Saccharomyces cerevisiae S288C: one gene and its partners. The main gene of each other region encodes a partner of the protein of the gene in region 4 in a complex. Each region holds a gene or a part of one and is shown on either strand. Other genes may lie near its edges. A codon is read from its position in the direction of its gene.

Region 1 (8,184 bases), on a different chromosome or scaffold from region 4:
TAAAAAGAGAGTCCATGCCTTGCAGAAAAAAAATAGCGACGTGGAATCGCCTCCATATAGAACTTGTAATGAGTGCTACGATAACCTCCTTCATTTAAATCTACTAGTATCCTCCACCAACAGAGATGTACGACTATCGCAAACTTCGGTACCACCAAATGCACTTGCACTTTCTGCACCAGATAGCAACACTGATGAAGACGCGGAAATCCTGGAAGATTCGGTAGATCAATCCGGTACGGCATGCAGGAGCGAAGAAAGTTCACAAAACGAGGAGGATCACTTCTGCCCTATTTGTAACTCAGATCTCACACAGTTTCCTGATGAAGAAGAGACCAGAAAGCACGTAGAGGATTGCATACAGAGAGCTGAAAATGCCCAACAACATACGAATACGTCAGATGCAGCAGATGACTCCGTAAAAGAAAGCCCTGCCTTTCAAAATAGAATGTTAGTGTACAAGATATCGCCTAATACAACAGATAATGCAATTAAGGAGTGCCCGATTTGTTTTGAGAATATGGAACCCGGTGAGAAAGTTGGGAGACTAGAATGCTTGTGTGTTTTCCATTATAAGTGTATTAAGAACTGGTTTCACAAAAGGGCGCAAATGACTGCAGCCCAGAAGGGAAATGGACATGCTTTTGTTAAAAGGAACTTTTGTCCTTTCCATGATGCCGTATTTTAACGATAACTCCCAATTTGCTTTTCATTACAAAGTTTAATTTTTCAGCTGTTAATAATCGAAGTTTTAACTTCCCTTTTCTTTTATTTTTTTCTTTAATTGTAAAAGATTTCTATATATTTGTTTAATTATGATCTTATATATTCATTAATATTTACTTTGAGGTGTTCCCTCACCTATGAATAAACAGACACTTCCTGGTTCTTTAAGTCCATCGGAGTCATGGCTACTATATGGATAGTGATGTTACGTACGGAGGATATATATACATATCGTGCATTATTCTACTTCACTGAATAAGTCACTATCCAAATCCTCTGGTACATCACTATAATGCTCATCTTCACTCGATGAAGATCCATCATCGCTCATTGCACCATCTTTCCCTTGACCTTCACCCTGTTCTTCTGCTCTAGCTTTTCTTCTTTCCAATTTACGTTGCTTTTTAGCATCTTTAACAGCCTTTTTTTTAGCAATGTTTTCTTCTTGTTCCTTTCTTCTTTGTTCCTTCAGCCTCATTTTTGCAGCGTGTCTCTTTTCTAAGGCTTTGATTTCTTCGCTTGATTTTTGAACAAATTCATGATGTAATACTTTACCTGAACAAATACCATCTTCTATTTTGACCAGTTTTAGAGTTAATCTTGGTCCTAATTCAGTCAGTTTGATAGCCTTCTTACGTGGAGTTGGTTGCGAATTTTCTGAAGGCTTAGGTTCCTCCATTTCCACATCTTCTTCTTCAATTCCTTTTTCACGTTCTTCGTTATCTGTCATTTTAACGGGTGTTTTTTGCGACAGCGAAGTTTGAGAATGTTTTGCCTTCACGTCCTGATTATCAACCACTCTCACAATAGCGTCATCTTCAATTTCAGATTCTGATGTATAGGCGCCTAAGTCATGATCTAATATCAAAGAAGAAATATCTTCTTTTCGATGCAAATTCGGCACTGTTTTACTTAGATTATTTTTGGCTTTATAAAGCCTTTTTAGATTTCTAGAGATCTCTACTTCTCGAATGTCAATAAAATAGTGGCGCATAGAAATTTCCCCCGTTTCTCTGTCTTTATTGATCATAAATATACGTTTGATAGAATTCAACGAAGTTCTTGCAGGATTCAGAGGTGGGAAAATATTCTGGAACATGGAAACAATAACCTTCTCCACGTTTACATCCTGATCGTCTTCATCAGATCTTTTCGATGTGGAAAACCCATTTAACACTAGCAATGGAGGATTTAATACATCATCATTATTTAACGATTTAGGTCTCTTCAAAAATTTTTTGATATCTCTACCCAGTGAATAGTCCAATACTTGAAAAGTAACAGTAGGACCTTGTGGAGTTCTAGCTATCTTTAGCGAGACATTTCCTGTTTTTTCAGATTGAGTGAACATGAAAAGATGCGTAACACCTAATGGGCCACACATAACAACAAAATCCTTCAGTTTATTGGACTTGCGCTCTTTTAGTTTTACGGCCGTATGCGGTTGCATGATCTGGCGAAAATCCTTTACTAATTGGTTTAGAGAATGGTTAGCCAATGAAGTTTGTCCCACTCTGATTACCATGGATTTAGGAATATCTCGTTCCTGCTCGGGTGTGATCTGCGCATGCGTTCTCTTTTTCTGCCTTCTTTTAGCCATTAGTTCCAAAATATCTAAGGTATGTGCGGGATGGTGACCTAGCAGCTGCAATTTAGTCGAATATTAGCTAGACTAGTTTATTTTGCCTATTTAATATCATTCATACAAGCCCGTCGATGAGATGCATCTACACTAAAAAATTGCAAAATCGTCCAAGATGATAGATAATGACTGAACTAACAGTCTGGAGTATTGCAAGTGCTTAGGTCTGTTTGGCAAAATTTTTGAAAATATTACTGAACCATTAGCAAGCTGTAATAGAACTAAAGCACCATTACTGATTTATTTTGACGAATCGTTTGCTAATTTTCAGCCACATCACATGCTGAAATATTTCCCGTTTGTTTCTTGTTTGTTTCACAAGCCATTCGCGCGCGTTTTCACGTTAAATGTTTTATTTACACGCACGGCTGCATCAGTGCAGCACAGCGTTAATCGAGTCCCGCGTTTTTCTATTGTTTACATAGAGACTAAAGACCAAAAAGGAAGAATACACACAATTAAGTTTTATGTAATATGTAACATGCAGTAAATAGATGAAAAATATGAATGTAAAAAGTGGTAACAACTGGAGAGCCTTTATATTTCTAGTTCGAATTGTTGTTATATTCGTTGAAGTACTCATCGTACTTATGAGTAGCCAAAGTAATGGAGTTCAAAACTGGCTTCAAATAGGCGGTACATGTGTTTGACATAGATTCACCATCACCATTAAGGACGTCTTGAAATAGCTCATTCAGCTTTTCAATACAGTCCTTCAAATGATTATAAAGTTTTTTGACGGTACTGGCTTGCTTTTGTTCACCGCTCTGAAAATGAATATAAAAGTGCTTTAGAAATTCACAGCACGTTGTGTGTAGCATTCTACAACTTTCTAATAGGTCTATTGGTAGGGTACTTTTCACCTCTAATTCATTTGCTTGAGAAGTGTTGTCGACAAAAGAGCCGAGTGCTGAATTAACATTGTTATGCTTAGCCTGTTTGGCGTTAATCTTGATTGCAGTTATGACTCTTTTATTGATCTTGTTGCTGACTTCGTTGTTAGGAACTACTTGGTTCAAGTCTAGCTTATTAATTAAATTATCCATGACCAATGACAACTGTTGTAACATTTGTTGATTAGAAACCTTCAAATCTGCATTCTTTATCGAGTCTGCCGAGCTTTTCGCATCGTTGTCGGTTGTCTTTTCATGTGCGTTCCTTTTCAGATGTATGATTGCATAGTTTGTCTTGTAGCTTTCGTTTAAGTCATCGATTTTCAGTTCATTTCTTTCATCATTATCTTCATCTTCCTCATCGTTTGTAATATTAGATTTGTTCTGTAGATTTGTCCTTGAATACTCATTCTTCAAAGCCATAATCATTTTTTCACTCAATCTATTCATACCCTTTAAGATGTCCACGGTACCATCGCTATTACCATTAATATCCACACCTGGCTGCATAGTGAAGTCGGGCCTGTTGCCTCGTACAACTGGGTCGTCCTGTATGTTACCATCTAAATCTATAATTTTTTTCACAGGATGCAATAGCATGTCATCATCTTTTCTGTCGAACTCTTGATCCAATGTCAAGTACCTGTCAATGATTACGTCACCTCTATCATTTTGCATGATCTTTTCACCCCTTAATTTTCTGAATAACTTCGAAGAGAAGAACCTTGCCCAGAACTCTGGTTCTTTGAAATTTTTGGGCACATTATCAGTGTAAGCTTTCTTTACAATTGGATAGTTCTCAAAAATATTCAAAATTTTTTCTCTTGACAAATTAACATTGACTTTGTTTTCCGATGAAGCCACCGGCTTGATAGTTGACAAAACGTTGTAAGGCCCAACTTTTTGAGAAGTAGATAAGGCAAAAGCCCTCAATAACGGAATTCTAGTTGACCAAAATTCAGATGGAGGCAAACCGGCGTTAATGACTGTTTCCTGAAAAACCTTCATTAGAACTTTGTTTCCTTTCAGTAAAGATTGCTGTAGCTTTAAATTGGTCAACAATTTTTCTTTAGAGAGAGAATCATCTAGTTTGGCTGTATTAATCAACGGAGCCCCATTATTCAATTGTGGTGTATCGAGATGTGGTGTGGGAGTCCCTGCAGTAACAGAAGAAGAGCTCATTGGTGTTTCTGTGTGTTGCGCAGACTCCTCTCTTCTTCTCTTTTCTTCGTAGATATCTGCATCTTTATACCGTGAGATGATTTGTTGAAGGGTCATCTTGATATTATCCATAACTGTTCTATTGTTAAACGAAAACATATGACGTTGCGGTTTGGGCACAACCTCATTTCCTTCGTTGTCTTTTCTCTTTTTTGACTCATCCACTTTCCCGATTAGCCTCAACATCATTTTTTCACTGGAAGCAGGGGTAGCTTGTAACTTGTCAATAGTGGATAAGACAACTGTGTGAACCTTGTCACCGTCCGTAGACCTCCATGTCAATTCTGCGGGTGAAACATCCTCATTTATGGCAATTATCCCAGAAACTTTCTCAAAAATGGCAGCTCCGGAATGTGACATTATGGTTTACTTTTATTTTTTCCCTACCCCTACCCTAGGTTAAATATTATTACTTTCACTGGGAAAGCTTATTATGCTAAATTTCAGTATTGTCTAAAAATTGCGTCAAAAACGAGCAGCCTTATCATGTCCCACGGGTTGTGGCTTTTCTAGTTTACTGTCGAATCATACTATCATTTTTAAAGATTGGTTTCCATTTTCGTTAGACCGATATCCATTACTTACACTCCTTTCATATCTTTCCCACGTGGCCTTAACTACGTTTACTAATACTTACTATGTAAGTCACAATTTCCATTAATTTGCGTCGTTCAACAAGATAAATTGCTGTAATTATATGACTGCGACGCGACGGCGACGTCAAATTTTTTTTTTTTTTCCTGAATGGAAAAGGGAAAGGACAACAAATGATGGCAAAATATTTCAGTTTGGATTCACAAGTTCTCCACTTGCATCCGCTATAGATAGCCACACTTGTTTCATTCAGCGCTTGTGATACCACGATTGTATCATTACTAGTGGCTTTAATTTTTTTTTTTTTTTCATCTATCCTTTTAATACCATTTGTGTTTGAAATAAACTGCTAAAAGAATTATACACAGGCATATTTTATCAAAAGTGTCAGCAAACAGAGCACAAGGGACTTGTTTAAAGTAGCTAAGTATCATAAAAATTTAGTCGCTAGTGGTATTATTGAGATCAAACGAAAAGTTTCATACATAATTAACAAAATTCGTTTGTTGCGGGGATGTCTGAGAACACCACAGCCCCTTCTGATAACATAACCAATGAACAGAGACTTCCGTCTGGACCCAAAGATGACGTAGATACGTTAGCACTTACCAGTGCTCAAAATCAAGCTAATAGTTTGAGGAAGCTAGATACAGATGCGAACGCTAAAGCTTTGCCATCCATCACAGACATACCAGTCAGTGATGATTCTGATATAAAACGACAAGTTGGCTCTGGTTTTGGTTCAAATCCGCTTCATATAAAAGATTCCGAGGCCTTTCCACATTCATCTATTGAAGCCCTAAAAGAGGGTATGGACAAAGTCACAAAACAATGCAACGATTTGAAGACGGCTTTGCTTTCCAAAGACACTTCCCTCACTGATTCTGTGCAGGATTTGTTTAACTCATTAAAAGTTTTATCACACAACCAATCAGTTTTGGAAAATAAGCTGGATGATGTCATGAAGAATCAAGTAAATACTGACATATTGGTCAATAATTTGAATGAACGATTGAACAAATTATCGACAATGTTGCAAAATACTTCGAAAGTAAATCACTCTAACCTTCTCATAGAAAATTCATCCAACAATACCAGTTCACAGCATAATACCTCTTCTTCTCGAAGGGGACCTGGCAGGCCAAGAAAAGATGCCTCGACCTCCACAATGAATAAGTTAGTGTCAAACGCAGCCTCGGTCAATCTCAAAAGTGCATCCAATCAGGGTGCTCCTTTCTCACCAGTAAATATTACTTTACCGACTGCCGTAGTACAAACGTCTAAATCCAAAAGGTATTTTGTGGAACCATCAACGAAACAAGAGTCGCTTTTATTATCTGCCCCTTCATCATCAAGAGATGATGCTGATATGTCCTTGACTTCCGTACCGCAAAGAACGAACAATGAAAATGGTAAAGAGCGACCATCCACTGCTAATTCTAGCTCCATCACACCAACACCTGTTACGCCGAACAACTTAATTCAAATCAAAAGAAAAAGAGGCAGGCCCCCAAAAAAGAGAACAGTGGAAACAATGATATCCAATTCCACGGATACGATAGATAAGTCAGATGCATCTAATCGGATTAAAAACGAGATTCCAATAAATTCCTTGCTTCCATCTTCCAAATTTCATCAAATACCATCATCTCCATCCAATCCTGTGTCACAACCGGCTCCGGTTCGGACTTCAAGGTCAGCCACACAAGAAATAGACATTAAAAGTTTAGAACTGGCCTCTCTAATTTCAACTAATGGTGATCCAAACGCAGAGGATTCGAATACTACTGATACTGTTCATAATAACGTGGAAGGAAAGGTAAATGTTGAAGAAAATAAAACCGAGAAGGAGAAAATAATAACCATCAAATCATCCAGCGAAAATAGTGGTAATAATACGACCAATAATAATAATACTGACAACGTCATTAAATTTTCAGCTAATTCAGATATCAATAGTGATATTCGCCGATTAATGGTTAACGATCAGTTTTCATTAAGTTATGACGCCAGCGGTAATATTACGGTCAAATTACCACCCGTTTCCTCTCCAGCAGCAGCAACAGCTGCCGCTGCTGCGGCGGTTACGTCAGAGATGAATAGACAACAAAGAGAATTAGATAAAAGACGTGATTCAAGGGAGAAAATGCTTGTTAATATGAAATATAACGATCGCGATAAAGCAAAGTCATTTATGGAGTCTAATAAGAAACTCTTAAAAGCAATGAAAGAAGAAGAGAGGAGGAAAAGAATGACTTCGATAATACATGATAATCACTTGAACTTAAATTTGAATGAGATCTCCACCCGTTCAAAGATAAAAAGTGCAGAAAAACCAACAACTAAAGGTTCTTCAATGTCGCCAAAACCAAGATCGGCCTCCATCAGCGGCATTTCAGACCACCAACAGGAAGGATATCAACCATTAGAGCAAGAAAAACTCGTCGATATTGACAATGAGGGCTCAAACGCAAACAGCGACTCTCTCAAGATGGGTCTAACCATATCCGCTGCCGATACGGTTCACAAAGTTGGAATACAGTCCATGCTAAATTCTGGGGAAGAGGCAATTACCAAGGAGAATGCAGAATATGAAAGAAAGACCCCGGGAGATGAAGAAACTACCACGTTCGTTCCATTAGAAAACTCACAACCTTCGGACACGATAAGGAAAAGAACAGCAGGCGATGACGGTGCATTGGATCAAACAGAGAATACGAGCATATCACCAAAGAAGAGACGCACAGAAGATCATACAAAAGGTGAAGAAGATGAGGGAGAAAGGGGTGTTGGTAATAGCGGAACGCTGGCCACCGTGGAGAATGTCTCAGGAGACATCTCCGCAGATTTATCCAAAGGTACTTCATCTATCCATAACGATACTGAGTCTGCTAACGATAGTAGCAATGGCAACGGAAACCTCGGTTTGGGTACAGAGTCACGCAATACATTGTTAACGGCAACTCCCATTGAATTAATCTGCCGGGAAGGCTTCTTCTACCGGAGAGATATTCCGGACGTTCCCATTACCACAGGAGCGTACCTGGAATTTAAATTCAAGGCGAAAGAAGAGGAATTGATCAACTCTAGCATCAATGAGGAGGATTA
Region 2 (4,520 bases), on a different chromosome or scaffold from region 4:
GATCAAAATCGAATTGACCTGCATCCTTAATGTTCCTGAATTTGCAGACCAATTCATTAGATGAAGACGAAATAATGTCACAAAACCCTTGGTTAGTTCTCAAGTAGTAATTCCCATAGGGAGATTTAATCAACTCGTAATTCGCTGGTGTACCTTGACTCATCCAGTGTCCATTCTTGATTAGAAAGCCTTGCATCTGATCTCCATTATTAATATTTGATAGACGAACGACTCCTCTGTATCTTGCTCCCTTATTAGGTCTCCTCCTGAAAGTTGGGACATAACCTTTTGGAAAAAACTTAATACCATCTTTTTTACAATTTGTTCGAATGGCAAGTGAGTCCATGGGCACAAACATTTCGCTCAAAAGGGAACCCTTCAAGTGGTTATAATACCATACTTCGTTTAAGGAATTATGTCTATCACAGCCTATGAAGACTTTTTTTCCTTCAAACTCTTTACTTAGTGCTGCCTCTATCTGCTCCAAAGAATAGGAATTGTCCACACTTGGGACAATATTATTTTTTTCTAGTGTTGAAAATGTGTCCAATTTCTTGAATAGATTATAAGTTATTCTAAAATAATCATAGACCGCTCTTTTTCTGTCAACACTATTAGCACCCCACTCAGTATAGCACTCTGGTCTAATTGTGCTAATGCACGTGCCATGTTTATTAAACTCGTGTATCCATAAGGACTCATGATTCCCGTTATTACTCTTCCAATATAAGTCTAGGTATTCAAGCAGCTTTTCGCCCGATATTTGCAGGGATGTATCATTATTATTAAATTTCTTGTCATGCAATAAGTAGTAAACATCGTCAATTTGTAAGGACCTATTACAGAATTGTTGGTAGCCACCATGACAATTATCTGGCCATAATCCGTGAATTGTAAATGAATCTAGAGGCCCTAACTCCTTCACTAATTCAGTTTCATTTAAATCGTTTTTGCTTGGAAAGTAATTCCAGAATTGGGTTTGTAAAAATATTCCACCTGGATATTCAAAACAACACGAGTTGTCTATATCAGTTTTATTGGAACATGATAATGGAATGTTTATAGGGCAGTTTGGTTCTATACCCTTATCTGCTCCATTCGAAAAAATTGGTAGTTGTAAGAGACTGTGTAAGTTTTTCAGTAACATTGACACAGTACTTTAGTTTGAAATATCTTAAATAGTTGGCCTTGCAATAGGTCGAAAGTTGAAGCGTTAATTATAAATTCGGTAGTTCCCCTACTTTTCGATAGGTTTGCATTTAAGGGATATTTTAGGAAAAGCTTAGATACCGAAATTTTGTTGATAGAGATGCAAAAGAAGAAAGAATGAAAAAGGAAAACAATTACTGCGCAAGAAAGACGCGTGTGTTAGCGCAATTGTTACGTTGAATGCATTGATATGTAGGGGCATATATATGTATATATACTTATTGTTTCTTTTTCAACTTTCTTTTAGCGAAATCAAGTACTTGAGAATTACCTTCCTTTGAGATGAAAAATTTCTTCTTTTTGTCGTCTTTCCACAACAAAACACCGATATCTTGAGCGTACTTACTTAGTAAGTTGTATTCTTGACTAGTCTCAAAATCAGAATATAAGGAACCTTCATATGTAATGACTCTATCTAACTCTAATTGCCATAATCTGATTTGATCTACGACGGTAGGAGGCAAAACTTGTAAAGGCTCCTTACAGTTGGGGTCCAGCTCTAATTTTTTTTCTAGTTTCTCTTCTGCCAACCTTCTCATTTGAGGATGTGCATGTGTCTCCAGATAGGCAATGATTTGGTCGGCAGTGATACCATTGGTCAATGCTCTTCTTATGGATTCCCTTGTTATTTGACCCAATACCATATTCACAAATCTTGCCTTTAAATGAACAAAAAGAGACAAAACAGCAATTTGCAGAGGTGAATTAGAATATGAATAGATTTTGAAATTTGTTTCTACAATCAATGAGCCATCGGGTATATCTTGATTTTTTAGACCTGCTTTGTTCAAATCATCTGATGTAGTGATATCTGTTGTGGATTTCCCGTTGGCGCCGTCTTCATTTACTGACGGCTCTTCTCTATTCTGTCTCAGTACACTATCCATCGCATTGGAGGCAGATCTGATTGTCTTGGTATCGGAAGTCAGCATCAAAGCTAATTTTGTTGGATAAAAAATGCTATCATTTGAATGCTTCTGGAATACCAAACCATAGTCTCGCATATCTTGTAACATAATTCTTTGTGTTTCGCTTAATGCATCGATTTTATAGGCTTTGCCAACTTCCAATGCGCCTAACATGAAAATAAAATGTAAAACATCGACTAAATCCATTTTGGACGTTTCGATCATTTTTAAATATTGCAATAATAATGTCCATAATTGGGAGTTGATTTCTTGTAAAAGAAATTGGAAGCCTTCATTAGTGATTTTGAACTCTCCAGTAGAGTTTACCTCTTCCATTAGTTTACTGTGTTTTAAAAGGTTCAGTACTTTTTCAGATGGGATTTTAGCGAGGGGAGTGCCAACCATGAAATGTAATATTGTTTCCCATTTATTAGCTGAATATTCATCCAACAAGTCCAGGCTAACTACGTTTTCCTCTACAACCACACCGAATGAGTTTTGAACTTCCCCACCCGTTAATGCGTTCCTCAGGCTGATTTTGAATGTTGGGTTTAGGTTGATCATCAAAGTACCAGATGATTTATTTGGTATAAGAAGATGCAAAGACTTCATCGATTTGATTGCATTCTGAAACTGCAATTTACCATTAGAGTTAACCCATTTATCTAAATCCAACAAAGGTACTTCATTTTCGTTGAAAACCATTGCCATGATAAAAAATTTAGCTAGTGGTGGTAAAATTCTATAGATAGCCAGACATGTAGCTGGTGAGGTATAAAGCCTATTTTGAACTTGTTGAGGAATTTCTTCCAAATACTGAGTGACCGAATGCTTCAGGGAATAGTCACTCATTATATTGTTCACTTCTTCCCTTTGATGGTGGCTTTTAATGCTAAGTTACTAGTATTGTATTCTGACGATGAAGTTAGGTTATATGTGAATATATGATGGTGCGTAATTTGCGCTACAACAAAAAAATACATTCGTTTTTTCAGTAATCGCGTACCTAATAGAAATGCAAGATGAATAAACGTTTTACGCATTTTTCATTGTGGAAAGATTAAGCTGTAGTCAAGTTTTAACCTAGTGCATAGTTCAGCCATTCCAAAATCTTTCCCTTCGCTATCATGCAGCACCTTATTCAATTTTTCCAGCTCCGCTATTTTTTTTTTTTCCAACTCTTTCAGCTGTTCATTCATTTGACTCTCCCACTCTTGTTTCTCAACTTCTGAAAGTTGTCTAAAGTCATCACTTTCCTTTATTTCACAGATTTGATCTTCCATACCGTTGTCAATCTGATATTCCAATCTTCTCTTTTTAGCCTCCATTTCTTTTTCTAGAAAATCTTTATAGCCGCCCATTCTATTGATTTTGATTAAAGTGGAATTTAAAATAAAAGACAGTTCCATCTCACAAATTGTCCTCCATTTTTCTATGGATTTTCTGTTCTCAATGATCTTGTTTTCGCTGAGAATTTTACAAGCCTGCTGTAAGTGATTATTTTCTTGCCTGAGAAGAGTAAGTTGTTTCGTTAACTCCCTATTTTTTATCGCAATTTCCTTCTGGTTCGTAGGCTTCTTCAAGTCCTTAATACCGCTTTTACCGACCCGATAGTTATTAGTGTCCTTTTTTGTATAAGAATGGTTGATGCAAGTATTTTCTTCTTCGTTCACCAAAGTTTTGTCCTTGTCTAGCCACTCTTCCTGATTGTGCATTACTATTAGATAACTGTAATTTGGTGCTTTTCCTGGAAAGTATACTTGTGATGTGGAAGTATTTTAAGTTCAAGTTTCTTGTTTTCTTTCCTATTTATGCGGAAGGTACATAGAAGTTTGGGCGGCTAATACTTTTTCCGCGGCTAATCCTATAGTAAAATGATCACTTTCATATAGAAAGTTGGTATATAAAGTGTCAACTAAGAGAGAAATAGTTCGAACCAGGTGTATTTTAAATCAACTATCGGGAAGTATGGACTGGTGGTATAATCGAATTACATAGTCCTTTTACCTTCATTAGTAGTACTTAAGTGTCACCCGCCTGGGGATTTTGCTCTCATAGAAGTAAAAGGGTAGTGCTATGGGAGCACATTAGGTAGTTCAGTTACGTTTTATGGCAGTCACTGTTTTCGCAAAGACTCCCAGACACGGGCATTAAAATGAAGTGCCAAACATGTCACTTACCCCTGCAACTAGACCCATCTTTAGAAGGTCTTAGTTTAACCCAAAGAAATTTGCTACTTTCAAATAATTCAATTATCACTGCAACGAATGAAAATGTCATCAGCAACAAGGGCATCGAAGCCGCAGATAATTGTGGGCCTCAAATACCGAAGGAGAGGCTGAGGCGATTAGGGGAGATTCAGAACATAAAAGACTTGAATTTAAAAGATGATAAATTAATCAC
Region 3 (5,774 bases), on a different chromosome or scaffold from region 4:
CACTAAGGAAGTTGAGGTGGAATACTTGCTAAGAAGGTTGGAAGAGTAAGCATGAAGGCTATCACGGTAACAATTCCACATTGCCGAGTGATTACTACGCATATATAAACACACACACTCACCATATATATGTACGCATAGTAGCATCTATTGAATATAAGAAGATAGAGTTTCAAGTTATACATTATATTGTACTATTTTCTTAAACGATGGCTCATAAATTCTATAGGAATTATCAACCCAATAACCTCATCGCTAATTCAAAAGTAGCAAAAGTGGCACCATTGGCGGGAGCAGCTCTTAGCATGGTAGGACCAAACCCTTTGAAAAAAGCGCCTATCCCTCCATTGGCATATAAAGTCTTGGCTACACTGGAAATAGAATTACCAAATTTAGGCTTTTGTAAATTATCCGTTTGCATGACAGACTTGATGACATCTAATGGATATACCATCAACCATAAGGCAGTGCCAGACAATGCTCCAAAAATACAAAGTTTCCATGCAGGAATGTCCTTTCTCTCTAGTCCACGTCTTTTGTTCATTTGGTTAGCAATCAACGCTTCATACACTAAGAAATATGTGCCACATCCATGACCTTCTCTCAATATTGTAGGTGTTAAACCACGTAGCAAGGCCTTGTTATGTCTTAATTTTTTGATGCATTCCAAAGGACCCTTGAATTCTGCGTTGGTGCCTGAGCCAGTCTGTGTTTGCAAGCGAATCCTGACATGCTCAATTGGGGACGCCAAGAATGAGTTTACTATACCGCCTGTGACACCACATGCGTAATACTGTGGCAATGACAAAGTCGATGACATATCAGCATTGCGATGATGAAAAAATCTCTTCATAGCTTCATTAACACCAAATTGTAATGAAACACATGCACCAACACCAATTAATGGCGTCAGAGTTCCTTTGTAAAACCCGCGAGGCCCTTCATTGGCAAGCAGCTTTCTGACGACTTCCATGGCTGTTGTTGGGGTGCTCGATGTTTGTAACCTAACTTTTGTCGTATCAAAGGGCTGGCCCACTAGCACTTGCGCAATACCACCCGCTGTACCTGCAAGCAAATCTTTCACGACTCGAGCATTATCATGCTGTGGATGTTCTTCCAAATCATCGATTAGTTGAGGAGATGGAAATTCTTCAGACATACTTCTTCGTGATGCGAATTTGATTGACGAGAAACCTAAACAAGAGAGCTGCGTTGGAGTATAGATGATAGTTGTTATTAGCTTATTGACATTGATTGATGCTATAGCATGGCTACATCATCGCTGACAATTTGCGCTCGAGTTTTCTTAGGGCGCCGCTTATCTTCGGCCTATCAGTAAATGTAAGAATGAGTCAATCAAAGTAATAACACTTTTTACTTCCTGTAAAAAACTACATAAGAAATTTATTTACATTATTCTATCAAGTCTTTTTGACCATAGTTCACTGCTATAACAGACACTGTCAGCTCAGTTATCGTCATATTCTCCACCGCGGCTGGTATCTCAACATTCAATTCCGCCATCTCCTTCGGGAGTGTTATTTTATTCTCATGTGCTTCAACTGGCTTCTTTTGAATCAGTTCAAGGCATTTCTTTCCAAGATCTCTCAAGATGCTTGTATATTCTGCCGTGACTCTTTCGGGTGTATGTACCAGTATGTAGAATAGCCAATCTTGCAGCCGACGATAATGCCTTCCTTTCTTGTGTATTTCTTTTATCCATGTATTCGACATATACTTGATCAGAACCCAAAGTTGCTTAGAGGTAATCTTTTCATGAAAAGTAGTATGCTGCGGTTCATTGTTTATAAGGTATTGGAACCACTGGTTGTATCCAACTAGTTCATGTTTATCTCCTTCAGTGATTACTTTTTTTACATCCTCAACACTGTCAATCTTGGTTTTTTCCAGCCGTACCAAAATATTCTTCGCCCATTCCTCATCAATCTGAAGATTTTCTTCCTTCTCTTCTGCCTTCTCAGGAAAGGAATGCTGATTTAGGACACTTATAATTTTTTCAACTGTAGTACATTTGCTGGGCATATCTTCGAGATAATTCTTTAAGAAAAGCAATAAAAGATCCAGTGTTTCGTCCTCATAACCGGTAAACTCGTAGGCATTAGTCAACACCGTCGCCTTCACAGAGTTAAACCACCTTACCCATATTTCTACATTCCTTTGAAGCCTAATCAAGGATGGCGAGATGGCGTGCCTTTTAAGGGCCCCCTCATCCTCATCATCGTACATGCTTGATTTGTGACGCGTCCTCTTTTGCAGATTCATATGATTCTTAATCGATATGGCGTTGGTTCTTAGTGCTTCTTGCCTAACACTTTTAAGATATTCAATGACATCAGGATTCACTGAAGAATCAGATAGTGCAAATGCACGAGATTGACCAAAGATGGCATCAGGCGCCTGGCTTTCTCCTCTTTTCATTGTTTATCACCTAATGTTTCTGTTATGATGGATGTTGGCAATGTTATTGTATGATACATTATCCAAAGCGAACTAATAAATCTACCGAAGCAACAACAGCGATGCACCCAGACAGTACATAGATAGTTATATTATCAAATTCGATATGATTGAAGTCAAAACAGTTCAAAGATGACACAACGTCTTAAGCTAATCACATCAAAAGCTTTTTTTTTTCTGTGGAATGTCCAATATACATGTGCTTAAAGCTAATTTTTTTTTATGTATTATTACGATGCATTGTGACGAAGGTTACCTGCTTGAAACGGATAATGTTCATTCCTTTCGTTCATGGTTTCGTCACCTTCTTTTTGGCTTTCAACCTTGGAACAACTGGTTTCCTCTTCAACTTGGCAATTACGTGCTCATCAAATTGAGAATCACAAGCAGGACATTTATTTCCGGGCGGTATGATTGATAAGACACATAGGCAAACTGAACAGATGAATCCAACGGCAACAACTCTCCCTGTTAAATAGCATGATGTCCTAAAATCTACAGATCCATGGTTTGGCTTAACAATTATAGGTCTTAACGACGGATCAATAAACATTGCAGTTGCTAAATATTGAATTAGCCCTTCTGTAGATTCAACATGTAAATAAACGCCATTTGTGGCATCCGTCGTTTGCTGTAAAAACGTGCTTTCCTTAGAACCACCAATCTTTACGACATCAATGGGACATTTCATTTTTGTTGCGGAAAAAATACAGTTCATTATAGGGATGTATTGGAAAATTTCATCTTTACTACTGCCACTCCCGCACGTAAGAACAAGTAGCCTTGATTTTAATGAGGTAGTTACTGACTCTTTTGATATTCTGTTTACATAAGTCAGCCCAGCTGACATGGCACCTGCTAGCGTGCTCCTTTGACTATTTTGTTCGATTTGTTTCTTTTCTAACTCAAATAGTTTATATATTTCTTCCACTAGCGTCTCATCAACGTTTCTAAAACGTCTATACATATCTGAGTTAATAATCTTAAGATCACTACGGGTTTTATTTTCAGATTCAGAGGCTTTTAGAGCAGATGTGCTCTCTGGGTATAAATATTTGATTCCCTGAGAGTATGCAGCAATGACTGCTACTTTGTTGGCGCTATTGAACGCTAAGTGAGCATTGAGAAATACTATCAATGCCTCTAAAACCTTTATTATACTTCCTTTCTCATTTCCTTCCTCATCAAAAGTTGTCCATAACTTTGGTGCAATTTCTATAATAACGGTAAGCAAAGATGGTGATTCTTCAGTAACCTGTTTTCTTGATCTAGCATGCTTAAACGTTGGATCAGATATTGCATCCATTTCTGATTGCTTCGCTTCAGTATATTTTATTGGATCGTGTATATTTCTACTCAAGTGTTGATTGATGTTGTAATGTTCCTTCAGGTATCTTTGAATTTCAACAGAACAAGACGAGCTGCGCGCTGAAAATAAAATAAAAGTGCAAGTGAAAAATATTGTAAAAATAAGGTAATTAAAAATATAGTTATTCGCTTATTATTGATCATTTTCATTCATTTATTTATCAAATTAATTTTACACAAACTAAAAATGTCATTTTTCGTTTGCAGTATGGACAGCATTCAATTTGCTTTTAAGTTTTCCAATCTTGGTGCGGGCTCCTTCTTTCGACTGCTCTTTTTCGAGGTTACTTAGTTTCTCCAAAGCTTCAGTGTACCTCTTATTGGAAGGTTTTATGGAACCCTTAGTTGAGCTAGTGCTTTGTCTCTTCAATTGACGATGCATTTCCTCGCTAAACTGCAGCCTCAATATGGTTTTCAAATCTTCGACAGAACAATGCGGTAATTCATTGTCTTTTATATATTCAAATAGTTCAGCTTCACTGGAGCCGCATAAAGAGTAAAAATTCATTGTGACGTTCATATTAATTTTTGATGGTTCAGAAGAAAGATTTCTATAGGCATGTTGTAAGACATTTACATTTCTCAACATTTTCTTTATCCCGTTATGGTTCAAAACTTTTATGGATTTGGCACCCTTAATCAAGGCGTAGTTGTTGACTATATCAAGACCAATAAATATGGAGTTTTTTTCCTTTTCTGGTAACTGTTGTTTCAATTTGCTTTCAGTCCTTCTTAATTCGGAAATTAGAGAAGCTATATTTTGATCTAATTCAATACTACCCACATCCATATTCCAAATTTTGGTGTTTTGAAAAAAAGACCCGATGTCGTATATACACAAGGCCCTAATGTTGAACCTCAGTATAGTGATTAGTTTGAATTTCAAGGTTTTGAATCCGTCGATAGTCTCATCAAATTTTTTGGAGGCTTTATCATCCAATAAAATTTTTAGATTTCCTAATGAATTTGGGCTGGAACTAGGGTTCGAATAGTTTAAATCCATTGATTCAGAAAATGTCCAGCTGCTCCTTAATCTATCAGCATCTAACATGGGTTCTTGGCTTACTTCATCAATATTGATAGCCTTTTTTAAGCCTGGCAGCCAGTTTAATATCCATAACACGCTTGCCGAAAACTGCAGAATTGTGTCCAATGTCAAGTTATTGAATAAATCAGATTTGCTCAAACCTTTACCCGCTTGATAGAAATGAGGTATTTCCTTAAATAACTCTATGGATTCTTCATGAAAGAGTGTCTCATCCCCATTCAGAATTTTTTGTTCTTGATCCATCAAAATACCATTCTGCAACCATGCCGTAATTATTTTCCTAGTTAAATGTCTATCAGAAGTACCAATCAAGGAATTAAATAGCCCCAAGTAGTAATTATAAAAATGATTCAAAAGATCTAGAATGCAGTACGATATTTTTTCTCTAAATGTGTTTGCTGTGTTGAAAACATTCAATAAATTGTAAAATAACCTTTGAAAATCTAATGCTGTTTTAAAAATGTTATGATTTTCATCGGATAGCTCTAAGGCGTACGGATTATTGGATTCTACTTCAACCGTGAATAAATAATCCATAGTCATCTGAATCTTTGGGAGAAAACTTTTATTCATATAATCATCGAAAAAGGTTAGGGATGAAATAGTATTTTGTGTTAAGACACTGGGAACAATTGTAGATGTCGATTGCGTAAACAGCAAAAACGGATCTAAAATTACCTTCATGTTGAAAACAGAAGGAGGGACTAGAGGCTCATCTTGTTCGAAGGATTCATCTTTTACATAAATAGAGTCTAAATCCATGTTTGAGGAGACAGAAAATCCAGGGAATATATCTTTCAACAAAGCCTTTAGTTCAAAAGCTTGATCCTTTACAGAAGAATTGTCCTCAATGTTATACTCCAAAGAAAAAATTTTAGGA
Region 4 (8,396 bases):
TTGAAAAAGCTGAAGGCTATGAATGATGCTTGTTATGAAAAGGTATTGGAATCCATCAATGAAGGTAATCAAATAATCGTGTTTGTTCATTCTCGAAAAGAAACATCACGAACAGCAACATGGTTGAAAAATAAATTTGCTGAAGAGAACATTACTCATAAATTAACCAAAAATGATGCAGGATCGAAGCAGATTTTAAAGACAGAAGCAGCCAACGTACTCGATCCAAGTCTACGAAAGTTGATTGAAAGCGGTATAGGGACGCATCACGCAGGGCTGACCAGAAGTGACAGATCCTTATCTGAAGATTTATTTGCAGACGGGTTGTTGCAAGTATTGGTATGCACTGCGACGTTAGCATGGGGTGTTAATCTACCTGCTCATACAGTGATTATAAAAGGAACAGATGTCTATTCACCTGAAAAGGGGTCCTGGGAACAACTTTCTCCACAAGATGTACTTCAAATGTTAGGTAGAGCAGGCAGACCGAGATATGACACATTTGGCGAGGGTATTATAATAACAGACCAATCGAATGTTCAATATTATCTCTCGGTTTTAAATCAACAATTACCAATAGAATCGCAATTTGTTTCAAAATTAGTTGACAACTTAAATGCAGAAGTTGTCGCGGGTAACATTAAGTGCAGGAATGATGCTGTGAATTGGTTGGCGTATACTTACCTATATGTCAGAATGTTAGCTTCCCCTATGCTTTACAAAGTACCTGATATTTCAAGTGATGGGCAATTGAAAAAGTTTAGAGAAAGCTTAGTCCATTCGGCCCTATGCATTTTAAAAGAACAAGAGTTGGTGTTATATGATGCTGAAAATGATGTAATTGAGGCGACCGATCTAGGAAATATAGCGTCGTCATTTTACATAAATCATGCTTCCATGGATGTTTACAATAGAGAGTTAGATGAACATACAACTCAGATTGATCTTTTTAGAATATTCTCAATGTCGGAAGAGTTTAAGTACGTATCGGTGAGATATGAAGAGAAAAGAGAACTAAAACAACTTCTAGAGAAAGCACCCATTCCTATCAGAGAAGATATTGATGATCCTTTAGCAAAAGTGAATGTACTACTGCAGTCTTATTTTTCCCAGCTAAAGTTCGAAGGTTTTGCACTTAATTCTGATATAGTGTTTATTCACCAAAATGCTGGTAGGTTATTGCGTGCTATGTTTGAAATATGCTTGAAGAGAGGATGGGGACATCCCACACGGATGTTGTTAAATCTTTGCAAATCTGCCACAACTAAAATGTGGCCAACAAACTGTCCTTTAAGACAGTTTAAAACATGCCCTGTCGAAGTGATTAAAAGGCTGGAAGCCTCTACAGTACCGTGGGGAGATTATCTACAGCTAGAAACACCTGCCGAAGTTGGTCGTGCAATCAGATCTGAAAAATATGGAAAACAGGTTTACGATTTATTGAAAAGATTTCCCAAAATGTCCGTAACATGCAACGCTCAGCCAATTACCCGTAGCGTTATGAGGTTCAACATTGAAATAATAGCCGACTGGATATGGGATATGAATGTACACGGTTCCCTTGAACCTTTTTTGCTCATGCTAGAAGACACTGATGGTGATTCAATACTTTATTATGACGTACTATTCATCACTCCAGATATAGTTGGTCATGAATTTACCTTATCCTTTACTTATGAGTTAAAGCAGCACAATCAAAATAACTTACCACCTAATTTCTTCCTTACTTTGATATCAGAAAATTGGTGGCACAGTGAATTCGAGATTCCAGTTTCCTTCAATGGATTTAAACTTCCGAAAAAATTTCCTCCTCCTACTCCCCTTCTGGAGAATATTAGTATTTCAACATCAGAGCTTGGCAATGATGATTTTTCCGAAGTATTTGAATTTAAAACTTTCAACAAGATTCAGAGCCAGGTCTTCGAGTCTCTCTACAATTCGAATGACTCGGTCTTTGTAGGTTCAGGAAAGGGCACAGGTAAAACAGCTATGGCTGAATTAGCACTGTTAAATCATTGGAGACAGAATAAAGGAAGAGCGGTTTATATCAATCCGTCTGGGGAAAAAATTGATTTTTTGCTATCTGATTGGAATAAAAGGTTCTCTCATCTTGCTGGTGGTAAGATAATAAATAAGCTAGGAAATGATCCTTCACTAAATTTAAAATTATTAGCAAAAAGCCATGTTCTCTTGGCTACCCCCGTGCAATTTGAGCTTTTGTCACGTCGTTGGAGACAAAGGAAGAACATCCAAAGTTTAGAATTAATGATATATGATGACGCTCATGAGATTAGCCAAGGTGTTTACGGTGCTGTGTATGAAACGCTAATTTCTAGAATGATATTTATAGCAACCCAACTTGAAAAGAAAATTCGATTTGTTTGCCTTTCGAACTGTTTGGCAAATGCTCGTGATTTTGGTGAATGGGCTGGTATGACGAAGTCAAACATCTACAACTTTTCTCCAAGCGAAAGAATTGAGCCTCTTGAAATTAATATTCAGTCATTTAAAGATGTTGAGCACATATCATTCAATTTTTCGATGCTTCAAATGGCATTTGAAGCATCTGCTGCTGCAGCGGGAAATCGTAATTCCAGTTCGGTGTTCTTACCATCTAGAAAGGATTGTATGGAAGTTGCGTCTGCATTTATGAAGTTTTCAAAAGCAATTGAATGGGATATGTTGAACGTTGAAGAAGAGCAAATTGTACCATACATTGAAAAGTTAACAGATGGTCATCTAAGAGCACCTTTAAAACACGGTGTTGGTATTTTGTATAAGGGGATGGCATCAAATGATGAAAGAATTGTGAAAAGGTTATACGAATATGGTGCGGTATCGGTTTTACTCATTTCTAAGGATTGTTCTGCATTCGCTTGTAAAACTGATGAAGTGATTATTTTAGGAACCAACCTTTATGATGGTGCAGAGCATAAATATATGCCATATACCATAAATGAACTTCTAGAAATGGTGGGACTAGCTAGTGGTAACGATTCAATGGCAGGCAAGGTTTTAATTTTGACAAGTCACAACATGAAGGCCTACTACAAAAAATTCTTAATTGAGCCTTTGCCTACTGAGAGTTACCTACAGTATATTATTCATGATACTCTGAACAACGAGATAGCAAATTCTATTATACAAAGCAAACAAGATTGTGTTGACTGGTTTACATATTCGTATTTCTATCGTCGTATCCATGTGAATCCAAGCTATTATGGCGTAAGGGATACGTCTCCACATGGAATTTCAGTTTTTTTGAGTAATTTAGTTGAAACTTGTTTGAATGACTTAGTTGAATCATCCTTCATTGAAATTGACGATACAGAAGCTGAAGTAACCGCAGAAGTTAATGGAGGAGATGATGAAGCAACTGAAATCATTTCTACCTTGAGCAACGGGCTAATTGCTTCTCACTATGGCGTATCATTTTTTACTATTCAGTCATTCGTTTCTTCTTTATCGAATACGTCAACGCTCAAAAACATGCTGTATGTTCTTTCAACAGCAGTAGAATTCGAAAGTGTTCCACTCAGAAAAGGAGACAGAGCATTACTTGTCAAATTAAGTAAAAGACTACCATTGAGATTCCCTGAACACACCTCTTCTGGTTCGGTGAGCTTTAAAGTTTTCTTATTGTTACAAGCATATTTTTCACGTCTTGAATTACCTGTCGACTTTCAAAATGATTTAAAAGACATTCTAGAAAAGGTTGTTCCACTAATTAACGTAGTGGTTGATATCCTTTCAGCAAACGGGTATTTGAATGCTACTACCGCCATGGATTTGGCGCAGATGTTGATTCAGGGTGTATGGGACGTTGATAATCCGTTGAGACAGATTCCACACTTCAACAACAAAATTTTGGAAAAATGTAAAGAAATTAACGTCGAGACGGTCTATGATATAATGGCCCTTGAGGATGAAGAGAGGGATGAAATTTTAACGCTTACTGATTCACAGCTTGCGCAGGTCGCCGCGTTTGTTAACAATTACCCCAACGTTGAACTTACTTATTCGTTGAATAATTCTGATTCGTTAATTTCAGGTGTAAAACAGAAAATTACCATTCAATTGACAAGAGATGTTGAACCTGAGAACTTACAAGTAACATCTGAAAAGTATCCGTTTGATAAGCTAGAAAGTTGGTGGTTGGTTTTAGGTGAAGTATCTAAAAAAGAGCTTTATGCGATCAAGAAAGTTACTTTAAATAAAGAGACTCAGCAATATGAATTGGAATTTGACACTCCGACATCTGGTAAACATAACTTAACAATTTGGTGTGTCTGTGATTCATATCTTGACGCAGATAAAGAGTTGTCCTTTGAAATAAATGTGAAATAAAATCATTGTTTAGTCCTGGATAATCGAATGGATTTCAATATATAACATTCTCTTGCGGCTATTTAATCTAATTGTGATATATACAGTTTATAGCAAAAGCGTATCATTGCATCACTGCATTTCTATATCTTCATCTTCATCTTCATCCTGTTCTCCTTCTTTGTTTTCGTTTTCAATAAATCCACCTTGATCTTTTCTGCTATTCTGGTGCTTTATTAAATCTTCATAACTCCAAACAGATACACCCTCTTGGTCTTTAGGGTCTGTGGGTTGTGCCATTGTTCTCAAGAATTGTTTGGTATTGGATATGGCCATGTCAGTCGAAAGGTTCAAATCGGCGTCAGACAAACCTTGAGCAATCCATTTTGGTAACTGGCTTCTTTTTCTTGAAAACCTACGGTCTGCTAGTACCATTACACCATAGTCGTCCTTCCCTCTCAGTACTCTCCCCAGACATTGAGCTGCATGTCTCATCGCATCGAAAGATAAGAAGTCGTTTTCTCTGATGCGATAGTTCTCCCTCATGAATTCTAGGCGAGCTTTCAAAATACGCGATTCTGTGTATTGAAACGGGATACCTATCATCAGCACAGTTCTGCCATATTGATGATCAAAATCGATACCTTCAGATACCTTTCCTCTAGCAACAGAAAGCAAAATTGCCCCACGCCCATTTGAGCAAGCCTTTCTATAGGTTTCTAAGGCTAAAGAAGTTTCTTGAGCATCAGGAGTCTCAACTAAAATTAATTTATGTTTCCAAACTTCGTCAAGAATACCCATTGTTTGCCACATTGAAACAATACTTTCCATATATAGATATGAGGGGAAAAAAACAACCATTCCATCAGGTGTGATCTTGGCAAACTCTACTAGCATAGAACCGTAATTACGAACAATACTAGGATCGTTTCTGATTTCAAATCTTGAAGAAATTGCAACTTGATCAGAACCCTTGGTAATAATCATTGGTAGAAATGATTTTTTGGCTAAGGTCATGGCATATGATTTTTGTAAAACAGTTTTAAAGTTTAACATTCTTGGATACATGTCTAATGGTGATATGGTCCCTGAAGTGATAATAACGGAAGAAAATCTCTCAAAGACTGGTTTGATGGCAATCGATGCATCTAAGCAAGTAAATCTCATAATCGGATTCGGAACTGCAGCATTTTCGATTTCATACGGTTCAATAATTAGTAAAAACCCTTCCTCATATGTTGATATAAGAGTAGCAAAAGTTGCTATGTCTTTCAATGCAGTAAAATCTTCTACCTCTGTAACTTCTAAAGTTCTTACAAGTAATGATAGCCTTTCTGAGCAAAACCGAAGAGGTTTCCTTTCTATGAAAGTTAACTGTTTTAAATGCTGTAGAAATGATTTTGGCGTTTCTGAAATAACGTGAAGAACTTTCATTCTGGTCTTCAGATATTCTATCAATCTTTTCAAAAATGAAACAAAATGCTCGGCTCTTCGTATATTTCCCGGGATTGCTTCTGTTAGAAGATCTTGGGGCAATACAGGTGTTTCCACAAATGGCTCTTCCTGGTCGGTAAGAATATCTGCAGAATGGAGACCTTGAACTAGTTTTTCGTATTCATCCTGTAATTTCTGTGAGTCAACCTTTCTGACCTCAGAAATACGTTCATCTAACGCATTAGCACCTCGTGTGGCTCTTCTCAATGCATCCGTTGTCAAGTCTAATGACAGCGATTCGATACACACATTATCAATATTGTGCGCTTCATCAAAAATGACAATGCTATCTTTAGAAACCTCGTTGGAAACTCTTTCAGCAATTTTAGGATCTAATAGATAATGGTAAGAATAAATAATAATGTTACAAAGAGAAATCATACGACGAACAATAAAATATGGACAAAGTGTTTTTTCTTCGCAGTATTTCAAAAGTTTTTCAAAAGAAAATACGCCTTTTGGAAGATAATCCTCTACTTCAATATTGTACAAATTCTCATGGTATTCACACAATTCTACATTTGCCTCTGGATCCTCTTCTAATTTTCTCTTCGCCTGCCCATTTGTCATTCTACGGCACTTTTCATCGACTACTGTACCTTTTCGTTCCTTACTCACTTCGGGATGCAAACACAAATTTTTTCTTGATGTCAAGCCAAGACCTCGAAAATCCTCTTGATAGCCTAGTTCTTTAGTTCTGTAATCCATAAGGTTCTCTAACTCTACTAAAGCTTTTTCAATTTCAGACATAGTACGAGAACAATATATGATCTTTCTATGTTCTGGGTAGTGCATCTGGTAGGCAATTGTGAGGGATAGTAATGAGACCGTTTTACCTGTTCCTGAAGGCATCTCCAAGATACTATTTCCACCTACATCCAGAGTCTTTTTAATATCGCACATATAATTATACTGCTCTGGATATATCTTGGGGTATGGAAAAAGCACTGGTAAATCATCTATATAAAACTTCATTGTTTCCAATCTTCTTAAAGTGTAGTCAAATCGGGCCGATTATCACCTTCAACCCAAGATGAAATATAGTATTTCTATGAATGGCTAACAGTACTTTGTCAACTTTAAGATATACATATATATATATTTATTTATTATTTACAGACCAGAGATTTCTTTTCAAAAGCTATGTAGCATAAAGTACGCTACTTTAATTTTTCATAAATTTCATATACATCGCTTAAATGCCGTCGGCCATGATTAATATAGGATTAACTCATATCATAAAGGCTATTCAGAATATTCAAAGTGAACTGTAATCATTTGGTTGACGAGATGCTGACTTCCAACTAGAGTCACGGTTTTTCAAAGTCTCGGGGAAGGTTAACATATACTTGCAGTTAGTGTAGCGTTAAATCACCCTATTAGCCGAATTTGCTGGTTATAAGGTTCAATAATTTCGGAAGATAATATCTGATGTTTCCCCAGAGACGGTACCAAAAATCCCACTTTTTTTGTAATAATCTTTTAAAGGCTCATTTGTTTTCTTGTACTCTTCTAGCCTTTTTTTAAACACTTCCGCTGTGTCATCAAGCCTCTTGGTCAATGGTTCTCCGGTGATATCGTCTAATCCTGGCACTTTGGGAGGATTATATTGTAAGTTATACACTCTCCCACTAGGAACGTGAACATATCTGTTCTCGATCCTTTCTAATATGGTGGATTCGGGTACATCTAGCTCTACCACTAGATTCAAGCTGGCGTCATGCTGTTTCAGCAGCTCGTCTAAGGCAGAAGCTTGCGCAGTAGTTCGAGGAAATCCATCGAGCAACCACATGGCAGATGGTTTTAACCAACCCAATGCCGAAAGACGAAAAGTTATCAGACGCGTTATGAGATCATCCGGTAATAACTTGCCTTGAGCAATGTAGGTAGTAGCCTCTCGGCCTAGGGTAGATTCAGATTTTATTTCCTGACGTAAAATGTCGCCTGACGAAATTGAAGATAATTGTGGAATTTGCTTTAGTAATCTCGAAGTCTGTGTCCCTTTACCTGACCCTGGAGCCCCCAATAATAAAAGTCGAAGAGGTTTGAGTAGATGTGTTATTTGTTTCGCGTCTGCTTTCATTGATGCTTGCTAACCCTGTTCCTGAAAATTTAAAGATTTACAAACAAATATATATACGTATATTATCCTTTTCTACACATGTGTATCTATATAATGATGGTTATTGTAATGGTATTTATTAGTGAATGTGGGTTTTCGCGAATTCCCGGCCGACCGAGCACATTTTAAGAGCCTTCAAAATGAGAGATCTCGGTAAACAACTGGCAATCGTGAGTCAGTTTAAAGGTGTACTCTGTTGATTAATGGCCGCTTTCCCGTCCTGCGGTTGCACTGTAGGGTTCATTATTGGAGCATCTACTGTTGTTTCGTTTGAAATACACGGTATTTTCTTATTCAAGTGCTGCAGAACGTGATCTCTCCTTTTAAATCTTTTGCCACATTTGGGACAAGAATGAGGTTTCTCACCAGAGTGGACGGATTTTTTGTGTCTTGTAAGATGGTGACCAGAAGAGAACTTTCTTTGGCATTCCTTACAAATATAAATCTTGTTCTT

What was found.
Region 1: the proteins of RAD3 (region 4) and TFB1 are in contact, whole or in part, in a cryo-EM structure (PDB 7K01), measured with the Saccharomyces cerevisiae proteins. Residues at the interface, in NP_011098.3 of Saccharomyces cerevisiae: Thr75 (codon at 6,573), Met76 (codon at 6,570), Ser77 (codon at 6,567), Glu80 (codon at 6,558), Lys81 (codon at 6,555), Thr109 (codon at 6,471), Ser110 (codon at 6,468), Lys112 (codon at 6,462), Asn113 (codon at 6,459), Arg124 (codon at 6,426), Gly126 (codon at 6,420), Thr127 (codon at 6,417), Phe178 (codon at 6,264), Leu182 (codon at 6,252), Ser209 (codon at 6,171), His211 (codon at 6,165), Tyr212 (codon at 6,162), Asp215 (codon at 6,153), Lys217 (codon at 6,147), Ile218 (codon at 6,144), Glu246 (codon at 6,060), Ser249 (codon at 6,051), Leu250 (codon at 6,048), Asp251 (codon at 6,045), Glu308 (codon at 5,874), Lys400 (codon at 5,598), Asp401 (codon at 5,595), Glu426 (codon at 5,520), Arg436 (codon at 5,490), Tyr544 (codon at 5,166); in NP_010597.3 of Saccharomyces cerevisiae: Tyr231 (codon at 4,152), Asn232 (codon at 4,149), Pro239 (codon at 4,128), Val240 (codon at 4,125), Leu296 (codon at 3,957), Arg297 (codon at 3,954), Leu329 (codon at 3,858), Leu330 (codon at 3,855), His331 (codon at 3,852), Val333 (codon at 3,846), Lys335 (codon at 3,840), Ile336 (codon at 3,837), Ile337 (codon at 3,834), Asp338 (codon at 3,831), Leu339 (codon at 3,828), Asp340 (codon at 3,825), Gly341 (codon at 3,822), Asn342 (codon at 3,819), Ile343 (codon at 3,816), Asp345 (codon at 3,810), Asp346 (codon at 3,807), Pro347 (codon at 3,804), Val348 (codon at 3,801), Val349 (codon at 3,798), Arg350 (codon at 3,795), Gly351 (codon at 3,792), Asn352 (codon at 3,789), Pro354 (codon at 3,783), Asp355 (codon at 3,780), Gly370 (codon at 3,735).
Region 2: RAD3 (region 4) and TFB2 share a complex: the UniProt entries of both Saccharomyces cerevisiae proteins name them as parts of the 7-subunit TFIIH core complex.
Region 3: RAD3 (region 4) and TFB4 share a complex: the UniProt entries of both Saccharomyces cerevisiae proteins name them as parts of the 7-subunit TFIIH core complex.

What each region holds. Positions count from the first base shown.
Region 1 is NC_001136.10:1,081,723-1,089,906, reverse strand, and holds TFB1 (TFIIH/NER complex subunit TFB1), read right to left. Parts: upstream 4,843-8,184; coding exon 2,914-4,842; downstream 1-2,913. Other genes in the region: PIB1 (phosphatidylinositol-3-phosphate-binding ubiquitin-protein ligase), read left to right, coding at 1-688; SSF2 (rRNA-binding ribosome biosynthesis protein), read right to left, coding at 965-2,326; SUM1 (Sum1p), read left to right, coding at 5,591-8,184. UniProt on the Saccharomyces cerevisiae protein: Component of the general transcription and DNA repair factor IIH (TFIIH) core complex, which is involved in general and transcription-coupled nucleotide excision repair (NER) of damaged DNA and, when complexed to TFIIK, in RNA transcription by RNA polymerase II.
Region 2 is NC_001148.4:317,799-322,318, forward strand, and holds TFB2 (TFIIH/NER complex subunit TFB2), read right to left. Parts: upstream 2,970-4,520; coding exon 1,428-2,969; downstream 1-1,427. Other genes in the region: RNY1 (ribonuclease T2), read right to left, coding at 1-1,147; MEI5 (Mei5p), read right to left, coding at 3,164-3,832; VPS30 (beclin 1), read left to right, coding at 4,273-4,520. UniProt on the Saccharomyces cerevisiae protein: Component of the general transcription and DNA repair factor IIH (TFIIH) core complex, which is involved in general and transcription-coupled nucleotide excision repair (NER) of damaged DNA and, when complexed to TFIIK, in RNA transcription by RNA polymerase II.
Region 3 is NC_001148.4:669,136-674,909, reverse strand, and holds TFB4 (TFIIH/NER complex subunit TFB4), read right to left. Parts: upstream 3,785-5,774; coding exon 2,768-3,784; downstream 1-2,767. Other genes in the region: chorismate mutase ARO7, read left to right, coding at 1-49; YMC1 (organic acid transporter), read right to left, coding at 236-1,159; BRR1 (Brr1p), read right to left, coding at 1,414-2,439; exocyst subunit SEC8, read right to left, coding at 4,037-5,774. UniProt on the Saccharomyces cerevisiae protein: Component of the general transcription and DNA repair factor IIH (TFIIH) core complex, which is involved in general and transcription-coupled nucleotide excision repair (NER) of damaged DNA and, when complexed to TFIIK, in RNA transcription by RNA polymerase II.
Region 4 is NC_001137.3:525,481-533,876, reverse strand, and holds RAD3 (TFIIH/NER complex ATP-dependent 5'-3' DNA helicase subunit RAD3), read right to left. Parts: upstream 6,796-8,396; coding exon 4,459-6,795; downstream 1-4,458. Other genes in the region: ATP-dependent RNA helicase BRR2, read left to right, coding at 1-4,347; adenylate kinase ADK2, read right to left, coding at 7,226-7,903; RPH1 (Rph1p), read right to left, coding at 8,118-8,396. UniProt on the Saccharomyces cerevisiae protein: ATP-dependent 5'-3' DNA helicase.